Linked DNA regions of Mytilus edulis. The protein of the gene in region 1 interacts with the protein of each later gene in a pairwise test. Links are inferred from orthologs where the notes say so. Each region holds a gene or a part of one and is shown on either strand. Other genes may lie near its edges.

Region 1 (10,051 bases):
TTTTCTTCTCCCTGGGGGCTTTTTCTTCAACCGGGCGCTCTTTAGTAAGGGGACATTTTTTTGGTCCCCTATTACAGTGGAAAAATCAATAAAAAAAACAAACAAAAACGAGAAAATTCCTATATTTTCATTGTACATTGTACTAATGAACTCAAAATCATGTTGCCACTTTTTTTTTAATCCCGCATTTGCGCAGAACACAGAAATCTACTTCCTTCTTCCAGTGTTGTTGTCATGAGACTTTGATTAGTCTAGTAAAATATAGGAACTCAAGGAACACCATACCAATTTCATTTTTAATAATTCTTTGCCTTTGATATGAATCAACGTTACTTGATGATCGCGTTTCTTTGTTTACATTGAACATGACGTCATAACTTAAATAACGTCACAAGTAAAATCCCTAACAACAGAACCAAAATTGGAAACATTACAGTATTTCTGTTTCTTTTTTTAACAGATTTTGAAGTTACAAAAACTAGAGGCTCTCAAGAGCCTGTATCCAGGTATCGCTCACCTGACTCTACTTGGGTTTTTGAATTCATATAAAAAAAGATAAAATTTGGCTACAAAATAAACAGCACTTGGTCAGCACCTCATTAGGAAAGGAACATTCATGCTATGTTAGGTTGTATTCAAATAAGTGGTTCTCTAGAAGAAGACTTTTGTATGCATTTCCCATATATAGGTCCCCGCTGGCGGCCATCTTGGATGATGGATCAGCAACAAAGTAACAACACTTGGTCAGCATCTCATCAGGAACATTCATGCTATGTTTAGTTTCATTCCATTCATTGGTTCTCTAAAAGAAAAAATTTGTATTTATTTCCCATAGGATCGTATGTTAAACTAAGTCCCCCCACTGTCAGCCATCTTGGACGTTGGATTGGCGACAAAGTGACAACACTTGGGCAGCACCTCATAAGGAGCATTCATGCTATGTTTGGTTTCATTCCATTCAGTGGTTCTCTAATAGAAGTCATTTGTATGCATTTCCCATAGGGTCCTATGTTAAACCAAGTCCCCCCACTGTCGGCCATCTTGGATGATGGATCGCCAACAAAGTAACAAGACTTGGTCAGCACCTCATAAGGAACATTCATGCTATGTTTGGATTCAAGTCATTTAGTGGTTCTCTAAAAGAAGTCATTTGTATGCATTTCCAATAGGGTCCTATGTTAAACTAAGTCCCCTGCTGGCGGCCATCTTAGATGATGGATAGGCTGCAAAGTAACAACACTTAGTCACCACCTCATAAGGAACATTCATGCTATGTTTGGATTCATTCCATTCAGTGGTTCTCTAAAAGAAGTCATTTGTATGCATTTCCCATAGGGTCCTATGTTCATGATGTTAAACTAAGTCCCCCGCTGGCGGCCATCTTGGATGATGGATAGGCTACAAAGTAACAACACTTGGTCAGCACCTCATAAGGAACATTCATGCCATGTTTGGTTTCATTCCATTCAGTGGTTCTCTAGAAGAAGTTCAAAATGTAAAAAGTTAATGACGACGACGTCAGACGACGGATGCCAAGTGATGAGAAAAGCTCACTTGGCCCTTCGGGCCAGATGAGCTAAAAATAATTAATACAGACTTCGTCCCCTTTCACAGATAATGCCTGCCTCATATTAGTACCCAATCATGATAAGGCTTATTTTTATTCTTTAAACACTTACAACAGTTTATCTTTAATTATGCGGGTACGAATAGTCAAATTGCCATTCTAGGTTGCGCGTACCCACATCTGGTTTTATAATTAAATGCTGTCGGATCGGGAATGAAACATGAAATATATGCGGAATTTGTTGCAATTAGTGAATAAATTGATTAAAATTACTCAGAAATTTTATAAATATACATGTACATATATATATATACATTTTGTATATACAGTCCGCCAAAAGTTAAGCACCACCGAAATATAACTGGCAATATTTTTTTAACTATTGCAAAAAAAATATTAATGTTTGGTGTTATGAATTACCTTTAACATACACTAAAAAAATTCATTACAACCAAAAAGATTGCACTCCGATAAAGCAGTCAACCAACCTTTTATCAAAGGTCATATGTGCGTTTATAAATTTATACACTGTTTCTCCAGGTGGTCGTGTAAGTGTTCGTACATTGGTCCGTCGACTTTATAGAGGCAAACGAAGAGCACGTCGTGGTGTATAGAGACCTGTACCTTCAAGCAGGCACTCTACCGTCAGGTTTAAATGGGATAATGAACATCTATGCTTGAACATAAGAACCTGACAAAACACTCATTGGTCAGATGGGAGTCAGTTTCCTTTACTGCCAGAAGACGCCATAATACGAATTTCGCAGGAGAAAAAAACGGCCTATGACCAAAAACAATATTTGCACAAGGACTGCATGCATTGCTGGTTGTGTTCCAGTACGGGGTTGCTTCTTATACCGTTATAAGCTGGGTATGCATATTCTGCAGGGTAACATAAACGGACAGACATACAGAGATTTGGTGCCTTAACATATTGTAGTCCGTCATTTTAGTAATCCCCCACTTGCGTCAACATTGTCAAGACACTTGTACCTGAATGACAACGCTATACCACGCAGGGCAAGAATTTTAACCGAGTCCAAAGAGCAACCAGTCATTTACACTAATTTTTGGCCTTCCTTGACTCCATGCATGAACCCTATCAAACATGTCTGAGATGCCATTGTCGGAAATCTCAATCGCAGAGATTCACCTTCACAAAAGTTTGTCGATTTAAAAGTGGCATTTGTTGTTTAATGCAACAGATTTCCTCAACTAAAGTTTTGAAGGCTTGTACCGAGAAAGATAGGTCGTGTTATGAAACTGTACCGGAAATGAGGTTGTTACACATGCTATTGACTCAAATATTGACATTAAATTTGCCAAACATACCAAAGATTATGTGTAGAAAATTTTAATGGTATTGGGTGATTAATTGTTGTAAAAAAATAAAATCACAGTGAAACTTAAATTCCATTTCTTAATTGTGTAATTTACACTATTTCTATGAACGAAAAACCTATATGCATAGAACCTTCATAAGTGACCAAAATTATATTTGTGGTTTGTTTATGGTATACATTAGCAAAATTGCTATATGATTGTTTTCTATTTTTCGAGGAACAATTGATTTTTTAAATTTGAAAAAAAATCGATGCAATAAAAGTAGGTGGTGCTTAACTTTTGGCGGACTGTATATATATATAATATACATTTTGTATATAAGTAAGTGAATAGTTTTTTCTCAGTTAGAAAATATTCTTAAAATGGAAGAGAGTGATATTATAACTGTGGGGAAGACATTTCAGACTTATCATGAACTAGAAAAATTTGTACAGAACTACATTTATCAGGCATTAAATTTCATAGAATTGACAGGCAGCACAAAAATTAAAGAAGATATAAAGTACAACAGAATAAACAACTAAAAATTAAGATCACCGTAAGAAGGAAAACATACGACTGGATATGTATAAAGTGAGAAAAAAAACTACACAATCAGGACTCTTTGGCCTGAGATTGCTGTTTAGACTGGCAACATTTGAAATGTGCAGGGTTGAAATCTGTGCCAAAACTGAGACTACTATGTGTTATAGTAGTCTCAGGCCAAAACAATCATATTTTTGCTTCTTTAATTTGTATAAACTCAAGCTTTAATTTTAGTTTTATATATTTTAAAATTTCAGTTTCTGTTTTACATTTTACTTAAAGATTATTTTAAAATATCCTATGGGCATTTCTTTAAAATGTTTAAATTATTAAAATTTTATTTGTTAAATTTTCATTTAAATTTTAAACTGAATAGTATTCAGGTATTAATTTCTATCATGTTTTTCTTTTACAGGGACTACATTTTCCATCATTGTGAATTTAATTTTGCACTGTTTATTATGTATCATTATTTAATAAATACAATTTGAAAATATTATTTTTCATACTCTTCACTCTTTCTACACGAAATTCCCATATTATCGATAACTTCCGTATATATTTCACGTTTCATTCCCAATCCTATGGCATTTTAGTAGAAAATCGTATGCAGGTACGCGCAGCCTAAATGGCAATTTGATTATTCGTACCCGCATGCGGGTACGCGCAGACAATGCCTATAAACAATATGTACAACGTTGTACAATGAAAGGACTGTGTGTGAATAATGTCAATATTGTGCATGTACGAATTAAAGAGATGTGTGAACCCATACAACTGTTGTCAGTTTTAAGTTCTATATTTAAGCTACATTTTAACTCAAAAACACAAAATAAAATACTTAAGTCTAAGAATATGCCAGACAGCAAACAATGACATCCACTAATTAAAAGGCTCTTGACTTAGGACGAGCTCATTAAGACTATTACAGGATGAAAATGTATGTTACCAGTCTTCACGACAAACTTTTAAATCTACACTACTACAGGCCCGGAGCTCAATTTTTGAAAATTTTTAGTTAGATTCTGTTTGCCTGAAGATATGATTTTTACTAGTCCAAATAATTATGACGTCTGGCAAGGCTATTTTATTATTTTTCTGGGACGCCTTGTAGGAAGGCGTCCCAGAAAAAAATTAAAATAGCCTTGCCAGACGTCATAATTATTTGGACTAGATTTTTACAGGCCCGAGAGCAATTTTACTAGCCTGGGCTGCCTGGGCTGCCACTCAGCATGAAGGCTGTGTTACTCATAGAACAGCATAGTCCAAATAATTATGACGTCTTGAAAGGCTATTATATTTTTTTTCTTTGACGCCTTACTTCGACGTCATAATGCTTAGGCGTCAAAGAAAAAAATTATAATAGCCTTTCAAGATGTCATAATTATTTGGACTAAGAACAGCACAACTACAGTACAAGAACACACGGTAAAAATAACATTCAGTTGAAAAAAGGCTGAACTTATCAGATTTAAATGTACTGACGATGAATTATAAAATTATTTACTTAAACTTTCCTCTCCTAGTTAATTTTTAAGTCAGGCATTTGATGACACTTAGTCAAAGATGGTGTTATTTTAAGTTTGAGATAAAATCCAATAAAAATATTGTGTTTTCATGGGCGCAGCCATTTTCACATTCTAAATTGTGTTCGTTGACTGTTAAGGATATCCGGATTTGGAAAAATGAGTTATTTCCCTTTGTACACTTGTCGTTGGAATAATTTCTCACCAGTTTCTCACCAGTTCTTACTCCCCTTAAATGAAATTAATTTGAATAATAATATATGAAAAATTAGCACAAATCATTACGTAACTTGATTATATGATAACAGCTGGGACATAATATATTGATTTACAGTGGCCTATAGTTGTTAATTTATGTGACATTTTGGTCTCTTGTGGAGTGTTGTCTCATTGGCAATCATACCACATCTTCTTGTTTATATTTATTAAAAAGTTATTGTAGCCGCAGTTCTAGTTAGATTGACTTAGATCTTATTACGTGATCTATAGATAAATAGTCTCAGAGTAAACTTATTATATATTGAGAATGTAAATGGGGTATATTTCATATAAACAACAATCCGACCAAAGAGCACTGAGACAACAGCCGAAGTCTCATGCCAAAGCAGCGAGAAATGTTCAGTGGAGATAAACAATTCCGTCCAGTACAGAACTCATTTTAAGTTTTAATAAATCTGACTTCAAACCTTTAACAATATTCGTTAATGCAGTGTTTTCTTTTTTGTTTCTTCATAATTTATAATTTATAGTGTCAAGCTATCCAGCAATTCTCATGTACACCTTAGTCTTTGAGTTCAGACTAACTGGACGAAGATGCACATTCTAATAATTAAATTTAAAAAAAAGTTTAGTTCAAAATGAAATGAAACAAAACGAAAACGAAAATCATTTATCTAGTTTCTGTCAGAATCTATTTTTTACAGTTTTGATAGATTTTATTTTCAGGTTCACAGAATATTTGTACATGCATATACATATGCCCATTTTCTCAAATGTTTGGGGATGTTATAAACGAAATAAACCCTTTAAAAAATAATGACATACATCGTCAAAGTCTGTTTCTTAAATTTAAGTTTACAGGGTTTTTTTCACAAGCAAACAAAACTTGCTTACTAGAAAACGCACAACATTTGATCTCCAGACTCGTTAATTGCAATATGCAATATGTATATAACTAGAGCATTGTTATTATGAACTCTTCAGACATCGATCGGTCCTTAGACTCTACGTCAATGGTAATTGACATGATAGTTGGTCATGTAAGGAGATAAACAAATAAACAGTTTGTAAAACTTGCTCTGATAAAAAATGAAACATAAAAGATAATTTGATAGGTAATCATTTCACCTGGTGTTGTACATATCATTGACATAATGTATATAATATTTATAGATAGATAATTCACGTTTACGTGATGTCAAACTTGATTCTGAATAAACAATTTATAGATATAATTCACGGACGGTGGCATAAACTTGGAAGATTTTAATTTTTACCAAAAATAAAGTTCAAATTTTATTTAACAAACACCATAAACAGAATAATACAAAACTTGAGGTAAAATGCGGAAAGAAATAATATTCCTAGAAACACGCGAGAAAAAGATAAAAGGGAGCCGGAATGAGTAGCAGCATGTCCATACGACGACCGACCCTTATATATGTCATTGCTGGAGTCACCATCTTAATAACGACTAATCATAAACACCTTTTGCATATTGTCGAAAAGTCCAGTGTTGACTTCTGTTTGATATAGGTTTTGCCTGAATAGTCAATTAAAGCCAGTACTAACACCATGGATGTGTATTTGGGTGTTTGATATAATTTGAGATCGTTCTTAGAGCTGTTTATGCAATTTGCTGGTTCTTTTTCGAAGATGTATGTTCTAGTGGAAGCATTTGTATTTATTGTCAAAAGGTTCTTATTATTATGTTCACATTTATAACAATTAAGGACTAGCGGGACGGCTGCAGTGCAGGCGATTTGGTGTCACGATATCACAGTAGCATGGGTTCGAATCCCGGCGAGGGAAGAACCAAAAGTTTGCGAAAGCAAATTTACAGATCTAACATTGTTGGGTTGATGTTTAGACGAGTTGTATATCAAAGTTATTATATACATTCTTACTTTTAACAGTACCGCTTTACTCTTTTTATTGTATTTCTATTTTAAACATTATTCTTAAACTCATGAATATAATTCAAATCAAATCAAATTTGTATTGCCATATAAACTTAAAATATTAAGTTTAAATAATAATAGTTTATCGGTTTTCTAGCCGCGGAGAATTTAGACATACATAATGCCTTTATAGCTTGCTGTTCGGTGTGAGCCTAGGCACCGTGTTGAATACCGTACCTTGACCTATTATAATGGTTTACTTTCATAATTGTGACTTGGATGGAGAGTTGTTTCATTGGCACTCATATCACATCTTATTATATCTATAATGTAAAAATCTCGTTTGATCAATGGTCTGATGAATACGGGTCTCAATTAAATTGAAAAAAAAAACTAATATGCATAAAAGGATAGGTTGAATTCACACAAGCACTGTGTATAAGTTAATGAAATGGCAACTCAACAACAGAGAATAACCAAATTACAAAGTGAGCATTAACTTAAGAGCAATATTGTCAGAGAACATCAAAGAAATGCCATCATTACCTTAATTAATTCTCCAAAATAATTCAAAATAGTATATAACAAATGACAAGGCTCCTGACTTAAGTCAGGCTTATTACCCCCCTTTGTTATTGAATTCGTTTCAAAAAGGCATACAACCGAGTGGTAATGTAGGATTTAATAATGTCCTCCATGAAAAAATGTCCACCGGACACATTTTGACAATATTTACTTATTTAAATGTGTCCTGGACACAATTTCCTATGAAAACATGTCCTCAGGTATGAAAAAGTGTCCATGAACATGCACATTATTCACTACCATAATATTGTCCAGGTGGACATTTTTTTCACAGGACATTGTGTCCGTAAGGGCATTTGTTAATATTATTAAAGTATTAAAGGATATCCATTGCCTTGTTATTACTGGACGCATTTTAACTTTAATTACGAACTTGAATTAATTGTTACTTGGACATAAAAATTGTCTCGTTTTGCACTCATACCATCCTTATCTACATATCTATATTTTATAATATACTTATATATGTTAGATCCTGTTCCATTTTATTTTCCTTTGAGGACACAATTTAATAACATTCACTACGAAAATTTGTTCTGCAGATGGACCATATTTCATAACTGTTGCTGTAAAATGCTGTCCACTTAGGAGACAATATTTCATGGCAATAGACATTATTTATTTTCTATTGCCTTCTTCTTTGACATAAATTGACATAATAAATATAATAAAGTTCTTCATATTTGATGTACACTTCCTTCTTATTGTTATTCTTTCATTGTCATAACCATTTGCTGGGAATTTCTTAGAACTTAAATTTCTCTATATTCACTTCCATCCATTATTTATTTGTTTACATTTGTATATTGATCAATTTCTCATAAATCCTTCATATTCTAATTAAAATTCAAGTATAATAAAACTTTGTAATGTCCTTTGTATTACTTCCCTTGGAGGACACAATTTAATAGCAACTACTATGAAAATTTGTCCTTTGAGTGGACACTATTTCATATTGTTATCAGTAAAAATCTGTCCTTTTGAGGGACACCATTCCATGGCAATGGACATTATTAAATACAAAATTTCAATGAAAAAGTGTCCATGTGGACACTTTTTCATAGGACACTATTATGTCTTACAGTAACAGTATGATAAAAACAAACACAAACTTAAAAGTAAAATAAGACACAAATGATTCAAAACACTGAAAGTCTTATGACAGTATATGGACCGTATCCCCAAAAAGTAAATGGACCGAAGCAGGAAAGAATTGTTTTTACTATCAACGTGTTAATACAAAACAGTATACTTTAATTTTAAACATAAGTACAAAGTATACTTTTTTAAGTCTTGTTATCATCAATGTATTATCTAAACATGACAAGACACTTCAAAATGAGGAAATACATATGTTCTTTTCTGGACTACCTTGTGATTAGAAATATTTGTTATTATTTTTGAAATATTTTCATTCAAGCAATTCTATTTTATAAAGAATTCTTTTTAAAGCGTTTTGTGTAAAATACAGTCATGAATAAACATGCAGTTAAAATAAAAGCATGACTTGATGTCCCAGTTCTAAATACAATATGGATCCAGATGTGGATTTAGATGCCCGTCCCCTTTATAGAGCTTCATTTATAGTTAAGCTAGACTTTGTACTGTTCCACTTCACATTTTGTCAAGTTGAGGAACCAGCGGGCCCTCTTTTCGATATCCTGCTGAGTACGCATCTGGGTAACCAATTGATTTCAAACGATATATATATAATCATAATTAATTTATTATCACACCGTCCTGATGAGAATTCTCACAGACACTTAAAAGACAGCAATTGAATAATGTCTTCGTCGCTTTTAGCCACACCTCGATCTGAAATTGACTCTTTTCATGTAGAGTGAGATCACGTACAAATTCATATACGTGCATATTCATTTTCAGTTATATGTTTTCTTATATCTGAGCCATCTTTTTTCCAATGCACGTAGATAGATCGGTATCAAATGTTGTTTTACACAAAAAAAATGCATGGAAACACATATTATTTTTTTTTGCAATACATTTCATCAAGTAGCACAAGGAAAGGTCTTGTCCAAAAAGTATCTGATATTCTTTAATACGTCTTTAACTAGAAAAAAAACATCAAGGTTATCGCTTGAAATTAGCCTTTTAGCATAAGACTAAAAGACAGGCATCTGCGTTTCCACCTCAAAGTTAACCTACATGCAAGTTCGATTTAAGTTTTCATACGAAACAAATTTGAGAATTAGTGTAGAAAATTATTTGAATTTCGATTTTATATAAAATTTGGAAGTGTGTGCATGTTTGTTAGAGGGATATTCTTTATGTTTTTCTTCTGGTATCTAGTTTAAAAAAAAAACTTGTTAATGTTTTGTTATCTGTAGAATCCAGTACAAAAATCTTTGGAGTACCTTGCTTAT
Region 2 (10,051 bases), on another chromosome or scaffold:
ATTCAGCATATCAAAGAACCCCAATTATTCAATTTTGATGAAATCAAACAAAAGTTTAATTTTGGACCCTTTGGGCCCCTTATTATGTTGGGACCAAAACTCCCAAAATCAAACCCAACCTTTCTTTTATGGTCATAAACCTTGTGTTTAAATTTCATAGATTTCTATTTACTTATACTAACGTTATGGTGCGAAAACCAAGAAAAATGCTTATTTGGGTCCCTTTTTGGCCCCTAATTCCTAAACTGTTGGGACCTAAACTCCCAAAATCAATACCAACCTTCCTTTTGTAGTCATTAACATTGTGTTTAAATTTCATTGATTTCTATTTACTTAAACTAATGTTATTGTGCGAAAACCAAGAATAATGCTTATTTGGGCCCTTTTTTGGCCCCTAATTCCTAAACTGTTGAGACCAAAACTCCCAAAATCAATCCCAACCGTTCTTTTGTGGTCATAAACCTTGTGTCAAAATTTCATAGATTTCTATTAACTTAAACTAAAGTTATAGTGCGAAAACCAAGAAAATGCTTATTTGGGCCCTTTTTGGCCCCTAATTCCTAAAATGTTGGGACCAAAAATCCCAAAATCAATACCAACCTTCCTTTTGTGGTCATAAACCTTGTGTTAAAATTTCATAGATTTCCATTCACTTTTACTAAAGTTAGAGTGCGAAAACTAAAAGTATTCGGACGCCGGACGACGACGACGACGACGCAGACGCCAACGTGATAGCAATATACGACGAAAATTTTTTCAAAATTTGCGGTCGTATAATTACTATTCATGACTCAGTTTATGTTCATTTTCAGCAATTATAACATGTATTTCTTTATCTTCACAAAATTTAACTTTTCCTTCTCTAAAATATTGTTCTTCTGTTCTATGCCATTCTTCAATATCAAAATCAGGAAAGAAGAAATTAATCTCTCTTTTAGCACTCTCCTCCGAATCTGAACCATGAGTAGCATTCCTGGTGTCCGTTAATCCAAATTTCCCACGTATCGAATGTGGGTCTTCATGAACAGTTTTCAGGACTTTAGTTGGTCCCATTAACTTCCTCCAGCATTTAATTGCATCATGTTTTGCTAAGATATGGGCACTCACATGACCACTTGAAATGAAAGTAACAAGTCTATTATGAAAAAACTTCCCATCATGTTCCTTGTAGAATTCCTCGGCTTTTGAACGTGGAAGATAACATGTTGTCGATTTTACAAAAAAAAATCCATCATCTCGAATCATCTGTTTAATTTGTTGAACAATATGAGGTCTAGAAACAATGTCTGGCTTGAAAATGGCTAAAGTTAATTGTAATGGTTTTAACAAACAATTAGGCATCTTGTTTTTTCTTTTTTTCTTCCCACTGTAGTTTTTTGTATTTTTCTCTCAAGTATGGATCAGGACTATTTGCAAATCTCTGAAATATAAATAAAAAAAAATTGTAAGAGTTCCAATGTAAAAAAATCAATTAGTTGGTGAATAAATACTTTTATATGCATTGTACATTTGTATGTACACGATTAATCAATCTGTATAAAAACTTACTACATAGCCATAGTCTATATACATGTATCTTAAAACATGTAATTTATATTTGATCATATTGTGTTTTAATGGTCATCATCAGGTAGGAGGCAACAGTCATTGACAGTCAGACATTGACAATGGTTTTTATTTAAATATGTTTTGCTCACAAACATTTTAATTTGTCAAGAACATGAAGAATGACAATGTGATTGTTTTACAGCAAGTTTAAATTTAATGTCTTGCCTTGAGATCTGTGTAAAACGTATAACTTTATACAAACGTTACATGCATATGACAATACATTTTTATAGGCAGGTAGGTATAATATATATTATATTACCACCTAATTAAAATACATTATTGCATTTGTCTATCGGTACCATTACGTGACATCGGTGATCACAAAAGTTCTTGTAAAATTTTGATGTCATAATAGAAAATATCTGACGACACAATGGAAAAGTGAGTGTTGAATGAACTCAAAATTTCACGAGGGAAATTTTGGGTTGAGCAAGGCAAAATTCCAAATAGCAATAAAGTGTATAGTACCAGATCTAGATATGCTAGAGGTCAGTGCCCGATATGCTAGTGTTGAATGACGTCAACCAATTAAGTGACACAGATTTTAAAACAGCAATTAGGTCTAGGAATTAAGCACACTTCAGCTAATGTAATTTATTGTCCATTCGATTATTGACTTGCAAGTCCAAATGACCTTTATCATAAAAATACATTTGAAGGCCTCCTTAAAGTTTTTTTAAGACTGTAAGAGCCATCTTGCACGTAAAACCCCCATGGGCATTTTGAAAGGTTGGCAGGTATATATGGAGGCGCGTTTTGAGAATGTCTGGAGCCGGTACCTCGAATTACCGAATAACAGTGTTATTATCCGAATAACTCATGTAATTACCGAATAACTCTTCAAATATCAATATTAACACATTTAAGTGACTTTTAAACATATATTATTGAATAAAATTATAATAGAAGTGTATTTTATAACCTAAAAATAAAAAAAAAGTTGCAGGTAAGTTAATATTGATCATTATAAAATTATGGATATCGGTGTGTACTTCCAAGATGGCGACCAAGGAAAACGTAAGAAATGAAGAAAAGAAAGATTGCATATATGCCTTCAAAGGAAAACGCTATGAAAATATAGTATTAAATAATTTACTGTATATACAGAGAATTGTCTAATAATTGTTTTTCAGAAAGGATTTGAAAATTTAACCAGTACATCAAAGCAATGCAATTACTCCAATCACTAATTACTTTTCATAACAATTTACTCAACATTATCTTTTTTTTTTTTTTTTTTTTTTTTTTTTAAACTAAGAATTATTTATATTTTAAGCTACTTGTTCCATTTAGATAAAACTTTTATGTGATTACTTACAAGTTTAAAAAGTATATTTTTGTATATATTTTGGTTTTAAGGATCAGTGTCTCATAAGTCATTTTTTGGCTGGATATTGATTGTAGTATGTATGTATATGAATATTGTGTGAATGTCTTGTTTCAATCAATATGTGACACTATAATAAACAATTTTATTCTTATTCTATTAAATAAAATGTAATTAAGAATTTTCACATATTCAATTCAAATCTAATCAAATTATTTTAATCGAAGACTACACATATCCCTCCGCAGAACACTTATATCAGTGTATGAAATGTAACCACCACCAAGAGTATGAATTGTTGCACCAAATAAAACAATTATCAGATTCAAAAAAAGCCAAAATGTTGTCAAAGAAATTGAAGACAAGGAAATCATGGGAAGACCAGAAGCCCCTTGTAATGGCAGAAATATTGAAACTGAAATTCCTCCAATGTAAAGCTTTCAGAGACCGACTAACATCAACAAGTGGCTATATTAATCATAATGTTCCTGACGAATTTTGGGGAACAGGAAGAAAAGGAAAAGGAAAAAACGCGTTTGGACTTCTTCTTGCTGCCTTACGGCTAGGTGTTGCCACTTCGTGATATTGTTAATGCTTGGGTATTTTTACTGTTCTTGTATTGAAAAGTTTTTTAGTATGTGATTAAAAATATGAAATAAGCCATTTCCTTATATTGTGTTACCTTCTATAAATCAGAAATATATCAAGTTAAGAAAGCACAAATTATACCACATATTTTCTATTTAGAAGAAACACCAAAAAAAGAATCACAACTGTATTGCGTTACTTTCTACAAATCAGAATTTTATATATATAGATATCTTATAAATAAGAATGATTATACAACATGTTATATATTTAAAATGAACATAAAAAAATCTTTTCTATTATATAAGAAATTTTTAAAGTATTTCCGCGGACTATGACAGATAAGCCCGTGCCTTGTGCAGGATATCTTAGTAGTTATAAATTTTTTACAATAAATTCTAAATAAAGTATTTCCACGGACTATGACAGATAAGCCCGTGCCTTGTGCAGGATATCTTAATAGTTGTAATTTTATAGATTTAAAGGGGCTTAGTTAACATCCATTTCTAAATCACAAATATAAAAATATGATAAAGATAATATTTTTTTAATAACTAAAATTAAAACAAAAACTAATTTAAATAGTTTACTATTCCATATTTTATTTTAAAAAATGCCCACCCTCACATTGTTCATTGCCGTGACGTGGCGTGAGGGCTCCACTTTGGTGGTCTAAGATGAACACGTTGAGGGATTGTATGCAATCTTTCTTTTCTTCATTTCTTACGTTTTCCTTGGTCGCCATCTTGGAAGTACACACCGATATCCATAATTTTATAATGATCAATATTAACTTACCTGCAACTTTTTTTTTATTTTTAGGTTATAAAATACACTTCTATTATAATTTTATTCAATAATATGGGGACGAAGTCCCCAATAACAGTAGAAAATTCAATGAAAAAAAAAATCGGGAAAATTTCCCGAATTTTTCATTGTACTAATGAACTCAAAATCGTTCAATTTTTTTTATGTCATGTTTTGAAATCCCGGACCTGCGCAGAAATGTACAATGTACTTCCTTTTTCCGGTCTCGTTTGTATGAAACTTTGAGTAAAATATATATTTATCAGTCTAGTATAAAATAGGAAGGAACGCGCAATACCAATTTCATTTTTAATAATTCCTTGATATGAAAAAACGTTACCTGATGATAGCGTTTCTTTGTTTACATTGCATATGACGTCATAACTTAAATAACGTCATAACTAAAATCCCTAACAACAGAACCAAAATCGGAAACGTTACGTATTTCCGTTTCTTTTTCTTAACAAATATAAAAATGTAAGTTACAAAAAAATAATTCATACAGACTTCGTCCCCATTTACAGGTAATGCCTGCCTCATATTATATGTTTAAAAGTCACTTAAATGTGTTAATATTGATATTTGAAGAGTTATTCGGTAATTACATGAGTTATTCGGATAATAACACTGTTATTCGGTAATTCGTGTTACCCTGTCTGGAGCTACTAGAAAAAACTAGTGTTGAATTACCATGATGATGACAACCAATTTTAAAAGTGACACAAATTTTAAAACAGCAATAAGGTTTAGGAATTTAGCATACTTCCGCTTATATAATTCATTGTACATTCAATTATTGACTTGCAATTGCAAATCATTTAAATGACCTTTATCTGTTTATTTTTATTTCTGCATTATTTCATGTAATTGAGTACCTGTTTCATATCAGTGTCACTCGGAGTTATCCATTTATACAGTAAATATACACCACCAATATATGGTATTGAATAAAGCGACAACTTTATGAGCGACATGATACCATACCCTCTGCTTCTGGATTAAAATTAAAGTACCTTTTCAATTTTCCATGACAATCTTCAAAACGTTTTAATGTATTCTTAGATGAAGTGTTCATTTTAAACCAAACATTTAATTAGTTTTCCAATAACGTGAAGTTTAAGACAAATGTTCAATCTGTTTCATACTAATGTCGTTTTAAATTTCATAAGGTCACTTTTATCAAAAGGAAAATTTTGAAATATAAACATATCTTTATTAAATATTTTCCGTTTTGACCAACGGTGTCTTTCCGAAACAGTTCTACAATTAGTTTCAAGCACCTAACGTACCACGACAAAAACAACAAATTCTGTACTTATGTAACGTACAATTTACGTAAAATACTCAAGGTTATCATTACAAAATGGAAGAAGAGGAAAACCAAGAAAAACAAGTGAGCCAACTACTTAGTTATGGTTTCTCATAAAGCTTCCGCGGAAGATACAATTTTCCAACCTACATTCACCTGACGTTTGGGGACAGAGTTGGGTCATTTCGTCCCAAATTTCCGTTCGCACCCAGATTCGTTTATCTCCAAATTTTATAGACATGCCATTTTTTTATGGGCCCCTGGGCCGACAAGGGAGCGATATAAATTTTGGCTTATGTCAACCAGAGGCATATCATACAAATTGTATTATATGTCTCTGTGTCAACATAGCTTCTTTTAACAGGTTGGGAACAAACCCTCTATATGGTGATTATACCTGTATAGAGGGATAATCCTTCTATAGAGGGGTAAATTTATCCGTCTATAGAGGGGTATTTTTGTTTAGACTGGATTTAAATCAAAATAGGGCAGAATGGCATTCTCTACTTATTATGGCAGTAACCTGGAACAGTTGATGCACCAATTGATGTACTTAATTTAATATGCACATGCCCAGTTTGATGCTTATCTGACTAAATATAAAATCTATTGTTCACCATGATTGAAAGTTGTGATGATCAGGTAAATTCTACTCACTTATGCCTCACTGAACAGAATTTCTATTGTTAGATTTAACATGAAATTTAAAGGTCAACTATCAGTCAGGGGTACTACTTGTACAAGTGTATTTTATTTACTTGAAGAAGTGAAAATAAATATACACATATAAGTAAATAGATAATGTTTGAATAATCTCCCCTTAATTTTCTGAAAAATTTACTTGTATAAGTAAATTTTTCTTACAATCCCACACAAATCCTCAAGTTTTGAGATGTAAAATCATGCCTTTAATGATTTTTCCCAGGTTTGCTCAAATTTTTTCATTAAAGTTCAATGTTTCATCTCATTAATTCATCAAAGAAACTGATTGAGCAAAGATCTTGTATATTTGCGCAAGGCATTCAAAAATTGCTCCTTTGGGGCTTGTAAATGAGCAGTGTTAAGAAGATAACAGACAAATGGGACTTTCATTGTCCATGAAATTACACTTAAATGATTAGTAAAGACATCTGCAAAGGGTACACAATTTAAAATTCTATTAGAGCTAAGAAATCTTAAGAATTCAAGAAAAGAAGAAAGGATGAATTTTTTACTTATACAAGTAAAAAATTCTGAATGACTAAGGGACATAACTAAGCCATTTTTTTTTTTACCTATACAAGTAAATAAAATTCACTTGTATAAGTATCCTAAAAATTTACTTACATGTATATGTGTATATTTTTTTTTACTTCTTCAAGTAAATTAAATACACTTGTACAAGTAGTACCCCTGACTGACTATTCCTTTTGTTGTTGATCAGGTGTTCAGATAGGTATACAATAGATTGCAAGTTTTGTCACTTTAGCAGAAAACTGGTTATCCCAATTTTTAGTAAAGTGCATATGTTGATGCATATAATGCTAGAGATTATAGCCAATATAACTAGAAAATGCCATTCTGCCCTAATTTGCTTTAAATCCAGTGCAAACGAAAATACCCCTCTATAGCATGTATAGAGGGATAATTTTATCCCTCTAAAGAAGGATTATCCCTCTATACAGGTATAATCACCATCCAGGGGGTTTGTTCCCAACCTGTTTAAGAAACTAATACATCATGTACATCTTATCGCTAATCAAAAGAAAACTAATACATCTTATCGCTAATCCCGGCTGACCCGGCCGCTTGAACATTTCACGCATATAGCAATCACTTTTCGATTGTGGCGTCAGATATTTTGTTTTATGACATCAAAATTTTACAGGAACCTGTGTGATATCCAGTAATGGCGGACAAATACCAATAAATTAAGGTGTATTATTACTGAGGTCTGATCGATCAAATCATAATGTTTGTTTTTAGTCCACACGATTCCAATCCATTATTAATTTTTACTATACAAATCTTTGGTCAGTTTTTGAATTATGATTATAAACATGATGCAAGCTCAGGGGTGGATTCAGGATTTCCAGTTAAGGGCGGGGAGGGGGGGCACAAAGTTTAATTTCGCTGAGCGGTTCGAGACGAAAAAATTTTTTTGAGGTAAAATTATATTGAAATATTCTTCTAAAGGGGTGAAATGTAGCTATCTCGAACTATTTGTTGTAAAATGAACGAGAAATTTCAAGCTGAAACCGCCTTAATCCACACCTGACAACAATCTACACTCACTGTAATTAACAAGAAATATGTGAGCTTCTATTCATTGAAACTACCCCCATATATTTGCCAGAAAACGGGACTGAAGACAATAAGGGTAGAGACAGACCTCAACCCGGAGTACACAAGCACACCCTCCACATAAAAAAATCTATTGAATGTTATAAATGGCAATGGTTGCTTGGAAAACTGGTGTTGCATTCATATTAGTCAATTGAATATCTTCAGGGGGAAAATGCAATAATGACGTACAAGTACATGTAATAGATTTGTATGCTTCCTAGTGCATCCTCCTGACCAAATATCAAGTGACTGACTGACGGATAGATGGACAGAGGTAAAACAATATGTCCCTGTTCCGCGGAGAACCACCGAGTTATGATGACAAGGTCTCCTACAAATCTACAACAATCTCCTAACTTTCGCACTAAGGGATTCATATTGCATATATGAGTGAGTTTATTACAGTTATAAAGCTGCAGCCCCACTAACAGAAGCTGAAGGTCATGCAAACATTTTATTTTGATTCTGTGTTCCTGTGGGAACCAATCTACAAACAAGACACCAGCACTTGTAAAATTATCTATATAGGAATATCAGGTAATATCTTAACCAAACCTTGAAAGACATGGTGCTGGTAGTTGTGACATAAAGAAATACAGGAACACCACAAATAAATAATTGTTTTGCACATCGTCAATGTGTCTAAGCCAATTGTACATGGTTTCAATAAAGTGAAATTTAACTGCCTTACTTAAAAATTACGTTAACACTCCACAACACCAGCTCTGCAAACTTGGTTAAAACGATGGAAATGTTAAGAGTTGACAGATAGACGGGCAGACCGATGGATGCAAAGTGAGACGAGACAGATCACAATTGCTCACCTGACCAATACTAGTATTATATTTTGCAAACGAAAATTTCTACTTTTACCAGCAATTTTTGATGTCCTTTCATAATATCTGTTTTTTACTTTTTTGATTTTCGGAGGTGATGCCAGACTTTACTGTGTTCACCACAAACAACTAAAATCAGAATGAGATGCATTTACGAAGTTATGTTTATATTCTTGGGATGCTATGCATGTGATACGGTATATAATTCAGTTAAATTTTTAGGTTGCATGTGAGAAATAAATAAAGACACCATAGAGATACAAATTTATACATTAACCTTTCGCTTGAAACAGTATTTCTATCTTTCATTAGGGATATTATAAAAGAATCTCACCTGCGGACTGTTTTCTTGACCTTGCCATGATGATGAAATTGTGAAAGTGATAAGGGATGTTTTTGAACTTCGATTATCAAACAAATTGATTATAAAAACCGCAAATATAACATGTACAATGTAACATTTGTTTTAACTTTAACTGCTAAAAACCTATTATATTTGTCATAAAACCCAGCTCCGCGTTTGACACCTTCCTTTGAAATAATTTATAGAATTTTAATAAATCGTAGGTTAGTTGATAAGTAATCATGTTGATTCTGTTAAACTGACTGTTTTATATACTTTGAATGTTAAAAAAAATGAAATTGTCTCTTCTGGTACTTAAATAAGTTGAAGACAACCCATGCTTTGCAAATTTTAGGAGGCACGCACCCCCTCCCTTCCCTCCCCCTAAATCCGCCTCTGACTAAGAAAGGAATTCCAGATGTACCAAATACCAAAAATTCAACTACATATTATTGAGAAATCAAAATAGATTTTTTATTATTAAGAACAGAAAATAAAAGTAAAAAGTACCATAGCTTTGTTCAATGATGATCAGTCATATCATATAAAATGGCCATCAATCAGTCTTCTGGTTCATTAAATAGTAACATTGTGCAACAATATTTAGGAAACAAAATGTTTAAAATTGATATGGTGCTATTCAAAAATCTTCTGAAGAACACTGCCTGCCATACAGTATATAATGTAAGTACAAAATGTAACTAAGAGTACATGTAGCTTCAGTTTTGTATTTATATTTCAGAAAAAATTCTTCAGTCAAGAGGTATGGAAGGAACCCTGTTTCAGAGACACTATGTTAGTTGGTAGTTCTAGTGGACTTATAAGTGGTCTTGCTACTTTTATATTTACAAGTAGGTGGAACTAATAGTAATAATAGTTTATAATACTTGTATATTTTAATACAA

The links.
Region 2: the proteins of RCC1-like G exchanging factor-like protein (region 1) and nucleoside diphosphate kinase 6-like interact in binary tests that used the Homo sapiens proteins (3 or more experiments, as listed by UniProt). The link is inferred for Mytilus edulis from reciprocal best matches to the Homo sapiens genes RCC1L and NME6.

The regions. Positions count from the first base shown.
Region 1 is NC_092355.1:44,608,349-44,618,399, forward strand, and holds the start of RCC1-like G exchanging factor-like protein, read right to left. Parts: upstream 5,086-10,051; 5' UTR 4,944-5,085; intron 1-4,943. UniProt on the Homo sapiens protein: Guanine nucleotide exchange factor (GEF) for mitochondrial dynamin-related GTPase OPA1. Activates OPA1, by exchanging bound GDP for free GTP, and drives OPA1 and MFN1-dependent mitochondrial fusion. Plays an essential role in mitochondrial ribosome biogenesis.
Region 2 is NC_092346.1:42,630,806-42,640,856, reverse strand, and holds nucleoside diphosphate kinase 6-like, read right to left. Parts: upstream 5,419-10,051; 5' UTR 5,347-5,418; intron 1,421-5,346; 5' UTR 1,342-1,420; coding exon 781-1,341; downstream 1-780. Other genes in the region: cytochrome c oxidase assembly protein COX20, mitochondrial-like, read left to right, coding at 5,697-5,726, 9,889-10,001. UniProt on the Homo sapiens protein: Major role in the synthesis of nucleoside triphosphates other than ATP. The ATP gamma phosphate is transferred to the NDP beta phosphate via a ping-pong mechanism, using a phosphorylated active-site intermediate. Inhibitor of p53-induced apoptosis.